Rhinolophus ferrumequinum: one gene and its partner. The protein of the gene in region 1 interacts with the protein of each later gene in a biochemical or structural test. Links are inferred from orthologs where the notes say so. Each region holds a gene or a part of one and is shown on either strand. Other genes may lie near its edges.

Region 1 (8,381 bases):
AAAACAAGACCCTTACATATGCTGCCTACAAGAGACTCACTTCAGATGGAAAGATACACACAGATGGGAACTAAAAGGATGAAAAAAGATACTTCATGAAAATGGAGACAAAGAAACAAACAAACAAACAAAAGCTGGGGTAGCAATACTTATACCAGACAATACACACTTTAAAACAAAGCCTATAACAAGAGACAAAGAAGGACCTAGTAATCCCACTTCTGGGTATTTATCTGAACAAACCCAAAATGCTACTTCCAGGTGACGTGCTCATCCATATGTTCATTGCAGCGTTATTTACAATAGCCAAGATATGAAGGAAACCTGGGTGTCCCTGAATGAATGAATGAATGAATAAAGAAGAGGTGGTACATATATACAATGGAATATTACTCAGCTGTAAAAAAGGAATGAAATCTTGCCATCTGCGATAACATGGATGGACTTAGAAGGTATTGTGCTGACTGTAGTAAGTCAGACAGCAAAAGACAAATGTCATATGATTTTACTTACAAGTGGAATCTGAAGAACAAAATAAATAAACAAAACAGAAACAAATTCATAGATATAGAGAACATTTTATTGGTTGCCAGATGGAAGGGGGCTTAGGGATAGGTGAAAAGGGGAAAGGATTAAGAAGTACAAATTGGTTGTTACACAGTAGTCATAGGGGTGTAGGGTATAGCGTAAGGAATATAATAAATAATATCATAATAACTATGTATGGTGTCAGATGGGTACTAGATCAGTCGGGGTGATAGATATGAGAGGGGTTAGGGGCAGGGTGAAAAAGTTGAAGAGATTAAGAAATACAAATTAGTAGTTACAAAATAGTCATGGGGATGTAAACTACAGGGAATATAATCAATAATATGGTAATAACTATAGGGACAGGTAGGTACTAGACAGGGGGATCACTTCCTAAATTATATAAATATCTAACCACTATGCTGTACACTTGAAACTAATATAAAATAATATTGGGTGTCAACTCTAATTGAAAAATTAAAAAAAAGGGAGGGAAGATAAAGAAGAATGAGGTTCAAAGTTCCAGATGTAAAACAAATAAGTCTTGGGGATGTAATATACAGAATAGGAAATATAGTCAATAATATTGTGTTAGTGTGGTACAATGTCAGATCGTTCCTGGACTAATGGTGATCACTTCTTTAGCATAGGGAATATAACCAATAATGTGGTAATAACTGCATAGTTCACTAATATAATATTGTATGTTAGCTATATTTTAATAAAAATCTTTTAAAAAGGCAGAAAAAAAGAAAAATAATCAGACAATGTATATAAAAAATGATTGTGACATTCTTGTCTGTATTACCATGAAGGAGGAAAAATAAAATAAGAAGCCAAAATGTCCACATATATTGAAACAATTAAAATAAATTATGGAATACTACACTGCAATTAAAAATCATTTATCATTAGAAATAATATATAACTCAGATATTTTTCAAAATATTTAAATAAAAAATCAGATAAGAAAATGGTTTATAAAGTATAGAAAATTATATTTGTAAAATATATTTTAAAGTGCCGAAATTCTAGAACTGGTACTAACTGAACAATGATTGTCCCCTAGGTGATAGAAAATTTGTATTGTTTTATTTCTACATATCTATATTTCTAAGAAATTTTCTTTAATAATGTGTTCTTTTTATAATAAGAAAGTGACAATCTCTTAAGAAAGCGATTATGTATTATGTTATACATAAGAAAGTGCTTATGTATTACAGCAAACATACACTATCCAGTTAAACTTTTTTTCTACCTGCTATTATCATCTTGTTTGCCCCAAGAAAATCCAAATAACTCTTTTAATCCACAAAGACCTTGTTTATTATTGAAGAGGGTATCAGTAATTAAGGTCAAGCTATTTTCTAAGAATCCTGGGCCTAAAGACCCAGTTTGGAAATAATAGAGACTTGTAAGCCCCACCTTGATAAGTGACTGCCTTCCTCTTACAGGTATGGCTAGGGAGGGTCATGTGCTACGATTTTCTTCACCACTATGCATTCTTCTCCCCTATGACTCTGAAACTCTGACCCCGTCTCTCTTCCTTCTCCTCACTCTCTCTTCTATGGCAAGGTGACACTCTCTCACCTCTACACTTCCCCAATCTGGCTCAAGAGCTTCCAGCCTACAAACACAACCCATGAATGCTTTGTCCTCTCTATTCCAATGCCTGCAGTGCAATCCCTCCCCCTGAGTAGGAGTCATGGTCTCAGTTCACATCTTCTCATTGGGAGCTGCCAAAGGAAGTGATCCTCTCCATAATGAGAGAAGGAATAACCAATCTCCAGGTTTCTGGGGGCTGGGGAAGGGTGTGTGTGGGATGGACAGTTGGCTCTCTTCTAGACTGGGAGCATAAGTATACCACATGTATTAAGAACACAGCCAATTTTTACAGAGAAGTAATAAGAAACTATGTAGCAGAATATTAATGCTGTAGCTCAGCTACATTACAGGTTAAGCTCGTTTTTATGGTACAGCTGGGAACCCAGGCACAACTTTAAGTATGCTCTAAATAATGGCTTTTAATTAACTTCGGGAACGAAAACCTGTCCCTATGGTTTGAACTATTTGGGCTTTGTTTGCTTCTCTTAATTAAAATAATAAAACGTATTTTTTAAACAAAAGAGCTCCCTTTTTAAAAAATCTACTGTGTGGTCAAAATGGCACTCATCATCACAATATTACCGGATGCATATCATTGGAGCTCTCCTCTAGGATCCAAAGTGTTCATAATAGGAAATTTCAATACGTTGCTCCCTATGGCACCCAGCTATCTTAAGAGGCAAAGGCAAGAAAGTACAAGTTTTCTTTCTGTAGGGCATATTGCCAGAAGAAGACCTTAAAATGGAGGCATTCTTTAGTTTAACCAGAATCTCTCTTATTCACTATTTCTTCCTCTATTTTAAAGGCTAGAATCAGAAAAAGGAACTCCTGAAGCCACAGTCTCTCAACTGGTATAATAAAAACCCAGCAGCTTTAATAGCAAATGGAACAACAATGGGGCAGGCAAAAATTCCCAAGGCTTGAAGACCTGGCTGTAAAGCACCCCCACCCCTCTGCTCCATGGAGAGAAGATTAGATATTTTCCAGGAGACCAGGGAGAGCCATAAAATCGATCACTTACCATTTTTATTGAAAAGAGTTGATGTGCTTGGCACAGAGCGACCCCGAAGATGCTGTAACTTGGACAGTGAATGTGCAAGTTAACTTTGCAGAGTGTACTTCCTTTTTTGAGCTGTGTGGTCTGTCCAGCTTTTCACACATTGATATGTAAGGTTTATTTGCATGTTATTTATCTTAGCCCTCAGAACATTTGTATAACTGGCCAGGTTTATTGAGTTATTACACTTTAATAATATGAGAAAAGCTACAGGTGAAGTTTTGAAGTCGGAAAGTTGACACAAGATTTTTTTAATGTGTCTGAATATTAAATTCTGTGTACATTATTAGCCTGTTTTTTATATAAAGTCTGTATTTGTGGATCTATTATCTATCTATCTATCATCACCTATCTATCATCTATCTATCTATGTCTACCATCTACCTGTCATCTAGCTATGAATGAAGGGCCCACTCCAAAATGTTAACAGTGATTGACTTGGGTGGAAGTATTATTAAACCTAATTCTTGTTTTGTGCTTTGCTGAGTTTTTGACTTTTCTATTTTGAGTATATAGTGCTTCTTAAAAACAACTATAATCTTAAAAGAACCAAAGGATCATGATTATTTTAATCACCAATTCCAAATATATTTAAACCAATCTAGCCAATATTTAAAAGATGGAAATAATCACAAGCTTATCATAGATGACATTCATTTCATTAAAAATATAAAGTACTTTCAATCTAGGTTCGTGTGTTAATTTTTTAGCACTTTTTGTTAGCCTCAATCCCTCATACTGTTAATCTAGATATTCTTGAGCTAAGGCCATGGCATTTGATCCTGAGTAGTCAGATTTCCCACGAATCAACTGTACCTATCTAAATGTGTTCTGGTACATGGATTTATCTCCTTTATTTTGATATATTGTCTGATACTAGAGTAATTTCAAGGGCAGAAGATCATCTTTGTTTCCTATTGCAAAGGAATGTCAACTGATTCCTTAACTTGGGGTTGCAAATTTTTAGATCTTCTTGTAAATACTACCAAATTTATCTAGTAGAGGGGCACCTAATTTCTTCATTTGATAATTGGCTAATACTACTTACTACCATGACAATACAAAATCCTTTATTAAAAAAGATGTTCCTTATTATGTATTCCTTCAAGTGAAAATGTTTTTGAAAATCAAGGTGTAGCAAGACATATGGATAGAATCATTGCCAGGACGAGGCAAGAAGGCAGGGCAAGGGCAAGTTTCAGGGATAGAAAAGATCCTGACACTGCCCTGAGACTTGTAGATATTTGAAAGCAGTTTGGGGCTTGAGGAGTAGTCAGGAACTGGGAGGGTGGTCAGTCACTTGAAATTGCACAGTCTTTGGCACATAACACATGTACAATGAATGAGTGAGGGAGAAAGTTCAAGGCAAGACAGCTCTGGGAACCAGGCATGCTAGTAGATGTAAAACATTGCCAGAAGAAGACCTTAAAATGGAGGTATTCTTTAGTTTAACCAGAATGTCTCTTATTCACTATTGGCTGGAATAGAGATGATCACAATGAAAGTACATCTTAGGGTCTATAGCTGGGGCTGTCAACCTGGCTCTGCAAGAACATCATCTGAAGTTTTCTAAATTCCCTGTTCCCAGACTTTACTCCAGACCATCAAATAATAATCTCTAGTTTTGAGATCCTGGCATCAGTATTTTTTAAAGTTCCCTAAGTGATTTCAGGGTGCTGGGCTCTAAAAGGAGGAGCAGTTGACTCATACTAGTGAGATGGGAACAGGTCACCAGGCCAGATTTGCAGGTAGAAATAATTCTGTCACTCGGTCACTGTTTACTACTAGGTTTATCAACCTATTTTCATCATGCACTACATAATAATTACCAATTCTTCATTATTCTATAATTTTCACTCTGTATAAGTAAGTTGCACAAAAATTACACGACAGAGAAAATCTAGCAATTTCCATTAACAATGTAACTACCTGGACAAGTCTTTGGTTAAGAGAACTTCAAAGTTCAATTCTTTCACTTGAATTCCATTTCAATTTCTGCTTATTTCTAAATGCAGATTAAGGTAATTTTTACTTGTCACTGACATAAATTCAGCAGTCTCACAAAAACATACATTTAAGAGATGTGTTTTGCCTAAGAAAAAAACAAGTAAGGGCTGAAGCTCCCAACCATAACTCATAATCCACCAATAAGTTTATATTTTTAGTTTTTGGAGCATGATCACTTTACTTTAAAAAATTATTTCAAATATCACATATGTTAGAACATTTTCTGTAAAGGCAACTAAGTGCATAAGTTCCTGAGCAGGAAGATGAAACAGGAAATGCAATAACGACAGACAATATAGTAATACCATCTAAAGAAGATAAAGTTATATTTTCATGGTGTGGTCACTGCAATTACTCCTGCTATGGAAAGAAGAAGTACTTCAGAGAGTGCAAAAGCGATTGGAGTTCCTCAAATACTTGGGCATGGATTCTCTTTTCAAACGTTTGCATTCTACAAAACTGTTTTTGTTTAGGCAATGGTAAAATCACTCTGTCCCTTTGGAACTCACTGAAGGCGACAGCTTGTGGAGACTGAAGTCCAGAGACAGCGGGTGGTGGGCAGAAACCAGTTTCCTTTTTTAAGGTCAATTTACAGGAAAATGGGTGGAGATACCACTAATGAAAATTTAAGTACCACTACTTACTGATCATTGTTCAGCAGTATCATCAGGGTTATATCTATCAGCTTTAAAAAGAGCATGGTTAAAATTGTTAGCACAGAGTGTTAGAAATATTCGTACACTATTTCTGCCTTATAATATGAACGGCTAACATTTTAGAGAAGAAACAAAATCATCTTCTTTAAGTGCCCAACGCAAACACGCTTGGATAAGACACTTGAGATAGGAGAACAGGGGGAGGAGTCTCACCTCTTCCAGGAAGCCTTCCCTGTTTCTTGCTCATTCATCTCCCCATTTTTCTGGACTCCTGCAGACTGCACCACGAAACAAAGGTCTTTGATATGTTTGCTCTTTATAGTTCTCCCATTGTACCAGCTGCATTTAAATATTGCTCCCTAAGTTGATTTGAAACTCCTCTGGTGTGAGTTAATTTTCATACTTCCTTCTGTCACCTTGAGATCAGAGAGCAGCTTTTATTTTTTTAAACCTTTTTTTCTTTTTTTTTTTTGGCTCATGGGTTCTTTTCAGAATCTGATAAAAGCAATACACACCTTGCACACTAATTCTGCATGTACACAGCCTCCCTTTCTTGAAAGCTTTCCTCCCTTTATGGAAAGCTGTAGGTGACTTTTTGGTTAAAATGTTGTCAAACACTAGGAGATAGTTACTATATTGCTGCTCTTTGATTATGAAATTAAAGCCAGAAATGTTAAGTGACCCTCCCAATTTTCAGACTAGGAAACCAGTCAGCTAAAACTTCATTATTTTGTAAACTTGACTCATTTTATCAACATGCTTTTGAACTGTGCCAGCAAAGAACAACTCAAATTTACAAAGTAGACTCATAGCAATTCAAGGAAATTCTACTCTCCCTGCTTGGATAGATATGGAATAGCCAAATGGAAAGTGGCAGGAAGACAGCAGGATATGAACAGGCATACTTAAAAATGTGCAGGAGGAAATGGGCAGATCCTTGACTTGGCTTATTTCTCTTTCACTTTTTATTTTGAAAATAAAATGGATTTTTTCTCTTATACTCTCTATTTTTTGAGGAAAGGAGGCCTTAACCCTATCAAAACATCAAAACTCTGGAAGAAATAACTTATTAATCAACTTTAGTACAAAATGAACTTGTCTTCCAATAGAAAGAGAGTTCCACCTATATTCAACAGGATGAGTAAAATGTATTTAAATACAAGGGCAGGGAAGAGATGTCTTTACAATTTAATCTCAACCCCAGGCAAATGTTTGCTGAACTCTAAAAGCACTGTTGACATAGAAAAATGGAAAAATGACCTAAACTTTACTTAAGGAGTCTTTCATCAAACCGATTAACTTGGAGAGCAAAGAAAAAAAAAAAAGAACAAAGCTTACAGAAGAATTCTGTTACATATTAATTTACTTATTACTTTCTTCTGCTATTTTTGCTGTCATTTGTATCTTACCCTCATCTTGGGTTTCTGGGGACTCAACATGCTCAGTGGGGTCTGTTGAGTCTTGTACTTTCCTTTCATGGCTTTTGTTATTCTCTTCTCATGGCTTCTTACTTCATTCCTTGTATATTATCCTCAGAAGCAGAATCCAGGTTGTAATCCTTTTACCTCACTGGGTTTCCAAGATAATATGTAATTGACATCATCAAAATACAGACCCTCATTTGGGTTAGCCATTGTGCTTAACAATTTGTTAAGGATAATTTGTATTTTAATGTATGCAAAAAATAAAATGTCCTATATGAATAATGGATTCATTCATTCATTCATTCATTCCCAATTTCCTCCCTGACAGGAAAATTAGGCCAGAAAGTTTGGAAAATAACAGATGTGCCTTGGGATTTTACAGACTGAGAGAAGATGACAAAAGGGAAAATGGATCACTCCATCATTCCTTGAGTTCTTTCTCTTTCCCATTGTCAATTAACTGCAGGTGTGAATACACTCATTTTCCTCATTTGTTGTCTAATTTTAAAACAGGAATATTTGTTTCAGTACAGAATAAATATTGGGAAGCCATACGCTATTTTTTTAACTTTTAGAATATGATTTCAAGTTTTTGAAAAAATAGTCAGTTTGAAAATATTTCCAGATTTTACATTTTTCCCTTGAGATTCTTTTTTTTTTATACTTTAGAATTACCCTATTGTCACCTCTTGAGAAATTACTCAACCTTAGTCTTTTTCATACTCTATTGCTCAAATTTAGATTTGTTAGGCAGGACACTGACTTAAACACATAATTATTTTATGTTCTAATACAAAGTTATCCATCCTTGAGTGTAATCTAATGATTTTCCTTTTGGTCAAAAAAAAAGGAATACTTCAATTTTCAATTCTATAGTATTTTTGAACTTAATATTATTAATAATGCTATAGGTGGACTTAGGAATATTTATAATGTAGTTATGAAAAAAATTATTAGAACACAATTTGTGAAATGATTCAATGTCATCATGACCCTCTTTTATCTTGTTGCTTCCAGGCTGATGGACTTTAGGACATGGTAAAAAAAAATCACAAATCAACAAGTGATACTGAGAAAATTGTATATCCACGTGCAAAGGGGTGA
Region 2 (8,796 bases), on another chromosome or scaffold:
TTATCTATAAGGTACTTATTTGCTGATACAGACTAGTTACTATTTCTATTTGAGAGCTTGACAGTCTATCTGAGGAAGCTGTTTCCTGAGTTATACTAGTAGTCTCTCAATGCTTTAACACTTGCCAAAAATCCAAGAAAGGATTTTTTTTTTTTAATTCCACACATACACCTCCAGGCCTAACAACAGAAAAATATAATCACAATCTTGGTTAATGGCCCTTTAGCACTCTGACCTCTCCAAGCTTCTATTTGTCTTTTGTTTGTTCCTTTTTCTTTAAAATAACCTTCCTGGTTGTTTTTTCCTGATTACAAAATCATTACTTGGCCATTGTCACAATTCAAAAAACACAAAGATATATGAAATATAGTTAATAATCTCTCTCTTCCACCCTCTCACTCCCCTCCCAAGGAAACCAATGTTAACAGCTTAGTGTATATTCTTTCTTTCTTCTTCCTAGGATTGCACAAACATTTTTCAGACAAAAATGGGATGTTATATATATTATCGTACACCTTGTTTTTTAGTCTTAAAAATATGTTATGGATATTTTCTAAGCCTATCCATCACATCTTTTTTTTTTAATTTATTGGGGTGACAATTGTTAGTAAAATTACATAGATTTCAGGTGTGCAATTCTGTATCACATCATCCATAACCATCACATCTTTTTTAATGGCTGCAAAATATTCCCTAAGATGAATAATTCATTCATACCATTGCCCCACCTTTCCCAACTCACGGATATTAAGGACGGATCTTTATATATGTTTCATGTCCTTTAATTTCAGTAACACAGATTCCTAGAAGTGGAGTTTCTGGGTTGAATGAAATATTTTGAAATGTCTAAAATTTTATCCTCAAACAAAATTAATTTTAGACCAGAATTTCTGCTCCCTTCTTCATTATACAAAATTTTGGCATAAACCTTTCACAAATTTTTGCATATTTTATTGTTTAAAGCACACCCATTATGTCAAAAACACCCGTCACTTATGCCCATGTAGTTATAATTAAATAAATGCTTAAGTTATGGCTGTGATGGCCCACATTAAATCACTGTGCAAATGCTTGTGCCTTGGTTTATGAAAACAGTAATTCATTGTGGAAACTCCACCCCCACGGCCATGTGGCAGCACTAAAGTGACAGCCCTCTCACCCTGTAACTCCCTCCACTGAGTGATGATATAGAGATCAGGACCTACATATTTTCTAATTGTCAACAGTCAACCTTAAAAAGTATGTGAGGGGAGAAACAAGTAAACAGCAACATACGCTAAATTGAAAGCAATTATGGGTTTCTAATATCCACAATTTGTAGTACAATGAGTAATTCTGCTGGTCTAGGCCAGAGACAGTGTTCCATAAAAACCAAAGCCTATAACCAATATGTTGCTATGATTACATGAACCTTTCAGAAACATATTTTTTAAACATTTTTCAATAGAATTGTTGGTTGAATCCTACCTTTACATTTTTTTCTCTGTTTCAGATTCAAACTCTAATTGCAAACTTTTTTTAAAGGCCTTCAAGAAATACATTAACTAATGAAGTTCCTTAAAATTTAATCTCAGACTCTTCCATATATTCTAAAGACCAGAGCACCAGCGGAGATTGTTAAAACACAGCAAGTTTGATACAGAAGTATGTGACACACGATTAATCTCCATTCATACCCTGCTCTACTTGTCAGCAAACAAAGGTTCTGCTTTAGAAGGAGATCTGAAGACTTCAATTAAAACCAGTCAGCTAACAAGAAAATAATCTAAGCTAAAGGAAGGTGGCAGGTGCAGAAATGAGTTGTTTACCAAAGTGTCAGTTTTGAACAATAAAGAACTGCACATCAAAAATGTCGAAGGAGAGGATTTCATTGCAAGTCTCTGAAAATAAAAAGGAATTTTCTACGGAGGCTGCACACAAAACAGAAGTGTAGTTTAACGAGCTTGTAAAATAGGTTTCCTCTCATCAAATGACAGATACCAATAAAAAGAATCACTTTGTATCTTTAAATGCAAGGGCAGAATTAAACTTTTTGCCACAGTTCCTTCTTTCCGGGAAACCACACTTAACAGCCTCTCTACACAATGAATATTGAATCAACAGCAGAGGGAAGGCTGGATGGTTTCTTCTCAGATACCCAAATGATATTCTTTTAACCTGCAGACACTTTTCTGCTCTGAAATTTTACATTTACTCGGGTCATAGAAGTAAAACAGATTTTGGAAAGTTCACCTCAAAATAAATATCTAGTTGACAGCTTTTACACAGAAACAGTCCTGAATGGAAACAATGATGCAAACAGAGACTAAAAGGACTTGCCAAATATTTGATTAGGAGGCATTTATACCAAGATAACAAAGTAATGGAGGTACAAAAACCAATTAAATCCAGAGAAAGTGAAAAAATTACTGCTTGCCAAAAGTATGACCTGCCCAAAGCAGGCCATCTGTTAAATACATGTCAAAAATGTCACTGACATGCCAAAAGGCTTAGTTCTGACTTTCCTCCCGGGACCCTTATGGCAGCACAGATTCCAGGCCTCTGTCTTTTCAAGAAGGTCAGTTACAGGAAAACAGGTTACTTTCACCAAAAAAAAAAAAAGTGTGAACTGAGCAGATGCTATTGCCCATTAGTACAAGTCTCTTTGGAGTGTTAGGAAGATGTGTTGAGTGTGAGTATGGCCTTCCCCGCTTAGGCACTTGAGTTTGCAGGTGAACACACCAGTGGGGCACTTCTAGAACAAGAAAAAATGGGATACTGAGGGTCAGCCTGCCCTGGGCGGATAATGAGTCCCCAGAAGACTGCAGGCTGGCAGAGAGGGAAGCCAGGGGTTTTGGCGCTGACACAAACTCATTAACCCCCAAGCCTTGGCCACAGGATCCCATGAGCCCCTCACAATCCCCTTGAGGGCCTCAGGGACCTCTAAGCAAGAGGGTGAGGGTCTTCTGTGAGAGATGGTGAGAGTCCTGAATTGGGGAGGGAGGAGGGTACAAACGGACAGGCCTGAGGAAATCATCGTAAGGAAAAAGAGACAGATTAAAGGTCAGGCCAGGTGGCGTGGAGCGGGGACCACGAACCTGGCCTGCGGTTGTTCAGAAGCCTGGGAGGCTAAGTGGAGCGGTGGCGACGCCTTGAGAAAAAAGAAAGTGCGGAACTGAGGGGAGTGCAAGAGCCCCTGAGGTAGGAGGAGGAAAATCTGGCTTTGCAGGGTTGAGGACTCTAAAAGCCTTGAGGTTCTAGAAGGTGGTGAGTGATGAAAAGAAAGCCCAGCCTTGGGAGGCGCTGGCGTCTCCTTTCCTGCCCTCAGCTCAGCACTGGAGGGACTTCCCGGAGGGCCAGGGCGTTACCTGCCAGGAGCCAACGGATCTCCTCGGGGAGGACGACGGCGGCCTGCATTTGCTGGGGCGGAGGGGAGGCCGAGTGTGTGGCAGGAGAGCGGCCGTGAAGGCCTGGTGCAGAGGCCGGCGGACCGACGGCAAGGCGTGGGCGGCACGGCGAAGGCACCTGTACCTCTGTCGCCACCGCCGCCGCGGACGCCGCGGGGCTGCGCCGCAGGGCGGGGCTGCGCTCAGGAAGTGGCGCTCGCGGGCGGGGGCACCCGGGACAGGCGGGGGCTGGGGGTGGGGGGCGACGGGGAGACACCTGTTCGCCGTGCACACGCCATTCCCGCAGGCGCCCGGAGGGAGAAAGATCGCGGGATGCCACACCAGGCAGGGCCCAAGCGGTGCGGCTCTAGACCTCCCACCAAAACAAAAGACTAAACGCGACTCCAGGGAACCTTGTCTCTCGGAGACTTCGCATCCTAAGCACTGAACAACTGGCCTCAAGGGGCTGGTGCGAAAGCCACGGTGGTGCCCCAGAAGGGGCGTGGGGCACAGAATCCGAGGTCCCCACCAAGCCTAGCAGCACTCAGTTCCGGATCCAGTTCGCACATCCACACCCAGAAACCAGCGCAGAACATTCGCTGTTTCAGGCAAATCAGGATGTTTAACGGGAATGACCGTAAATCCCAAGAAATACTAAAAGTCACTAACATTTGGGAGAATCAGCGCGATGGACACAGGAAACCAAAGTCTCGCTTCCTCTCTAAGGCTGAAAGGATGTGAGGAAAAGAAGAGGTGACCTGGGGAGAAAGCTGAGGGAGGGGCAACTGAGCCCCCTCCCTCTAAGAACTGACAAAGGGAGGAAAGTGAAGGACAAGATCACAGATAAGGGTTCTCTCCCTCATTCACAGAGCAGGTGTCCATGTCCTGGTTGTGATACTACTGTAATATTGCAAGATGTCACCATTGGGCAAAACTGGGTAAACAGGATGGCTCCGTGTCATTTCTCATACGTTCTGTGAATATGCTGCTATCTCAAAATAGACTTCATTTTTTTAAAAGGTGCAATGGGCCAAGTGCCATGCAAAAAGTATAAAGTGCCACAGGCTATAAAAGGAGGGAGTCGGATATAAGAAAAGAAGGGAAGTGTCGTGTATGTGTGTTGAATGGCATTTGAGATGGGCTCTGAACACCACAGACTTGAAGAGGCAGAAAGACTTTCCAGGTGGAAGAACCCAGAGTAAGTAAAGGTGGAAAAGCCTCCTCCTGCTCGAGGAACAGTTAATAACCCTCTTTTACTGGATGGTATAGGGAAATTACAGTTGTCAAGAAAAATGGAAGCTCTAATGTGAAGGGACTTGGAAGTCAGAATGAGGATTTTGACTGACATCAATTGAGTGGGCACTAGGGAGCCACTGACAAATTTTGAGCCAGGGAGCGCCCTAACCTGAGTCCCTGTATCATGTGTGATCTCCCACATCTCACTTCACCTCTATCTTTTTCCTTCTTTGTGAAAAGTGGAGTTTCTGTTCTCAGACTCTACATACAGAACATGTGGGAAGGATTGGGAGTGGTAAGAGAGAGGACACAGGGAAGATGGGTGAAGTGGTTTTTACAGCAGCCTCAGGGGAAAGAATGATGAATGAAACCACGGATATGGGAGAGGAGCAGCAAAGAGAAATTGTCCAGAAGGACACATGGTAGCAGTGCCTGCTTCCTGGCATAGTTTCCCCTCCAGAGATACAGTCTCGAGGTTGGAGGCTGGATATGGGAGAGGAGCAGCAAAGAGAAATTGTCCAGAAGGACACATGGTAGCAGTGCCTGCTTCCTGGCATAGTTTCCCCTCCAGAGATAAAGTCTCGAGGTTGGAGGCTGGATCCTTTACCAGGTGCAGTGGCGTTGAGCCATCTTTACATGTCTGCACCCTGAGATCTGAAGAGATATGGTGCGGTGCCTTGGTTTCAGGGTCACATGACACACGCATAAGTTGCAGCATATTGGGGTGGGGGCAGAGGGACAGAGGCTGGTAGGAGTCTCTCGGGAGTCTAGCTCCTGCAATTCCTCCTTCTTGCTGTGGGAAAGTTAACGATGGGAAGGCTGCCTCCTCCAGGCTTCAGAGCAAATACCAGGTAGGTCCCTGCTGGGGCATTTTTACCACACTCACTGCTCCTGCTATAAAATTGTAGCTGCTCTGGAATCATTTTTGAGTACTTCTGACATGTGTTTAAAAAGCAAGAAAGGATATATTGGAACTTCCTGGACTATCGTTGCAATTTTTCTCTAAACCTAAAACTATTCTAAAACACAGCAGGGGAAACAACGTCCTTCCTATATGTAACCCCAGCACTTTTCCTTGATTTCCCTCTCAGCAATAGTAGGAACTTTGACAACCTCCCCCTCTTCTTCAAGGATATTTGTCAGATGCTAAAATAGGCTACAAGCTAATGAGTTGCTTGATAGGAGCAATAAACCCAGGTAATTGCACACCTCCTAGGCCTCACTACCTGTCATAGCTTACTTATACTGAGGGATGCGGCATAAACTTGTGGAGCAGGTATTCTACATCCATTTTAGGTTTTAGAGGTAGAGGGAGGTGCAGTGTTGGGTAGTGTGCAGTGGGTGACTGGCAGATTCCAATACGGCATTGTCATGTTGCATCAAGGTTCCTCATTGCAGAGAGAAACCTGCCTCCACACATGAGCGCAACCCCTCCTTAATCATCTGAGGACCCTGGTTCAGCAGTCAGCCTCACTCCTAATGACATTCTGTTAAATGGACAAATTCCTTTGAAGCCTTGTCTTTCTTTGAAATCCAATTTCGAAGGAAGCCAAATCTGATTGGGGGTAGCCATGGAAACCACACAGAGGAGTCTTAGAGGAGGTAGAAAGAGGCAAGGCAAAACGTGATAGTCAAGAGTCCTTTAGTGCTCTGTCGGAAATATCAAAGGGATCTGGAGAGGTTGGCAGCAGACGAGTCCCTGCCCGGGTCCTGTTCTGTGTGGCTGGGTACCATGTGGCTGTCATGAAAGTAAGCAGCCAGCTGTCTCTGCACACAGGCAAGGGGATGGAGCAGAATACACAAATCCCAGGTCTGTCTGCCTCCCTCTTCTTCCCCTCCCCCCAGCCCCAATTCCAGTAACATCTTAGCATCCTCTTCTTAGCTGCCTGGCCCTTAAAGGCAAACAACAAATGAATGACAAGGTTAAAATACAAGGCCCTCGCAGATAAGAGGTCCTCTGGAGCAGAGGCCATGAAATTAAGCTGGAATTCCTTGTAATTAGATAAGATAAGGGTATCTAAAGAGATGCAAAGCAGGCAGGAATGGAGTCCTGCAGCACAACATGCAGAAAATATACCTCCTGGCCTCCCGGGGCCCCTCACACACTGTCAGCAGACAGAAGACACAGAAAACAGGGCCCATGCCAGCCTCTGGGCTGCTTGGAGTTGCCATCGACATGTTCTCATGCCAGGTGGGCACTCACTAAATATGCATCCATTGGGTATCCAGAGGGCTTAATCAGGAAGCAACAAAAGCATCTGGCACCCAGAATGGCATGGGGTGGGAACAACTGCAAGCAAAGCAGGGGCCGGCTGGCATTGCTCTGCCCTGGACGAAATGGGTCTGGAGAGGAGACTGCAGCGGGCAGGCTCTTGGGCTTTATTCCGAGCTGGCTATTGATCCCTGGATGCTGGGTCACGACATGCGGTGGAGCTGACGTCTGCCCTTTGGAAGTGCGGCCACTGCCTCTCAGCCCCTCAGTCCCAGCCCCATCAACCGGGTTTATTGACTCTTTTATTGACGATGTTGGGGCCTAATGAGGACAAGAGCTGCACACTTCATTAAGGGCTGTGGAAAGAGAGATGATGCATCCTGCCAGTGCCAAGTACCAGGCTCACTGCAGCTCTGCAAGGCCTCAGAAACCGGGCCTCATGCCACCTGAGGGAGAGGAGACGAACGCAAGATGCTCAGTTGGGCACATCGCTTCAGTGGCTTTAAATTGCAGGTTTCCACAGCTTGCCAGAAGCCTTGCTCTTACTAATTAGCTAAACTTTCAACTTAAAAGGGTCCTATTATGCATACACTCACATAAATGCACTTCGATGTTCTCCCCCTTCCAGATCACACTCCTAGATTCTCTGCACTAATACAACAAAACGAGCAGGTTCTCATATCATATTAAGGACTATTCCCAAAGCAGGTTCTCTATAAAGCACAGGCTCAGAACCGAACAAGGACTATTAAAACTCAAATCTTCAAGGTGATCAAATTCAAGATGAGGAACAGACCCAGTCAGTGTTCTGCTCAGGGGGCCACCCAGCTCACCAGGGGCTGCACTGGCATTAGAATCCTGGTTCCCTAACACTGGTCCAAAGCTCTTGTAGAACTGAACACCGGAGATGGATAATTACAGCCCAGGTATCACTGAGCAGCTCTGTGAAGCAATCCTGTTGGTCCCCCTCCATCTAAAGAGTAACACCTCTTTCTTTGTTCTTTATCTTATCTTTCTATCAGTTCCCTTATTATTTTTCCCTGCATTCCTTAGTCACTTTTTTTTTTTTTGTATCTTCTTTGCCTATCCCTTAGACCACATTAGACATCCCCCTTGGGCACTGCTGGGCCCAGCAGAGGCCCTGAAGACGGAAGAGGTTGCTGACTCTGACATTCTCCGCCTTTGATTGGTTCTCTTGGGAATCTGAAGGGGAGGGGTTGACATGCAGAATGTGTCAGCTGTAGCCAGATGAGGCTGTGCACTCCAAGTGAGGTGTGGGGCCGTCTATGGGGTTAATCTGCACAGGAAGCAGGTGAGGTCAAGGCGGATTTTATAGGCTAGATGTTCGCAGACATGATAACTTTGGAAAACTATCTAAAAGGAATAACCATTTCTTTGGGTGTGCTTAAGGAGATTAAAGGTAAATAATAGAAGGATAGCAATTTTCTAAGGTTGAAATGGCTTTCTTTGGTTTCCTTTCATCTGTTTTTCCAAAGGTAAAAGTTTAAGCTCCCTAAGCCCCTTCCTTTATTTCTGCCCTTTCTTTTCCCTCCCTTTTTCTACAGGTCTTAGAATTCAGCGTTGAGGTAAGGGAATTAAGTTGAGAGAAGGGTCAGTGACTTAGAATCTGACAGAAATGTCTGGCCTGTATGGCACACATGCACACATGCTTTGGAGGAAAACTCACATTTAAAGGAGCTGATATAATCTGATTAGAATCACAAATATTCACAAATACCAACAGAAGCACTACCTGGATTCAGACATAACACCAGCAATGGCTGATTGTTTCAATGCAAGAAAGTGGGTAAAAATACTTTTCCCCCAATGGACATCCTCTATGAAACAACAGTTAGCTCCCCAACATATGTTCTTTCCTTGTCTTCAGAATTGCGTCAGTGTCCATTTTGGTGTTTTCTTTTCTAAATGTCTGTTCCCGGATATCCTTGTGCTTTGCTGCCAGCAGCATTTTCTATCAGCATA

What was found.
Region 2: the proteins of FYB1 (region 1) and SKAP1 form a complex in vitro, tested with the Homo sapiens proteins (2 studies listed by BioGRID and IntAct, with this or other methods). The link is inferred for Rhinolophus ferrumequinum from reciprocal best matches to the Homo sapiens genes FYB1 and SKAP1.

The regions. Positions count from the first base shown.
Region 1 is NC_046290.1:26,059,359-26,067,739, forward strand, and holds the start of FYB1 (FYN-binding protein 1), read right to left. Parts: upstream 3,256-8,381; 5' UTR 3,158-3,255; coding exon 3,155-3,157; intron 1-3,154. UniProt on the Homo sapiens protein: Acts as an adapter protein of the FYN and LCP2 signaling cascades in T-cells. May play a role in linking T-cell signaling to remodeling of the actin cytoskeleton. Modulates the expression of IL2. Involved in platelet activation.
Region 2 is NC_046304.1:34,608,624-34,617,419, reverse strand, and holds the start of SKAP1 (src kinase-associated phosphoprotein 1), read right to left. Parts: upstream 3,527-8,796; 5' UTR 3,397-3,526; coding exon 3,348-3,396; intron 1-3,347. UniProt on the Homo sapiens protein: Positively regulates T-cell receptor signaling by enhancing the MAP kinase pathway. Required for optimal conjugation between T-cells and antigen-presenting cells by promoting the clustering of integrin ITGAL on the surface of T-cells.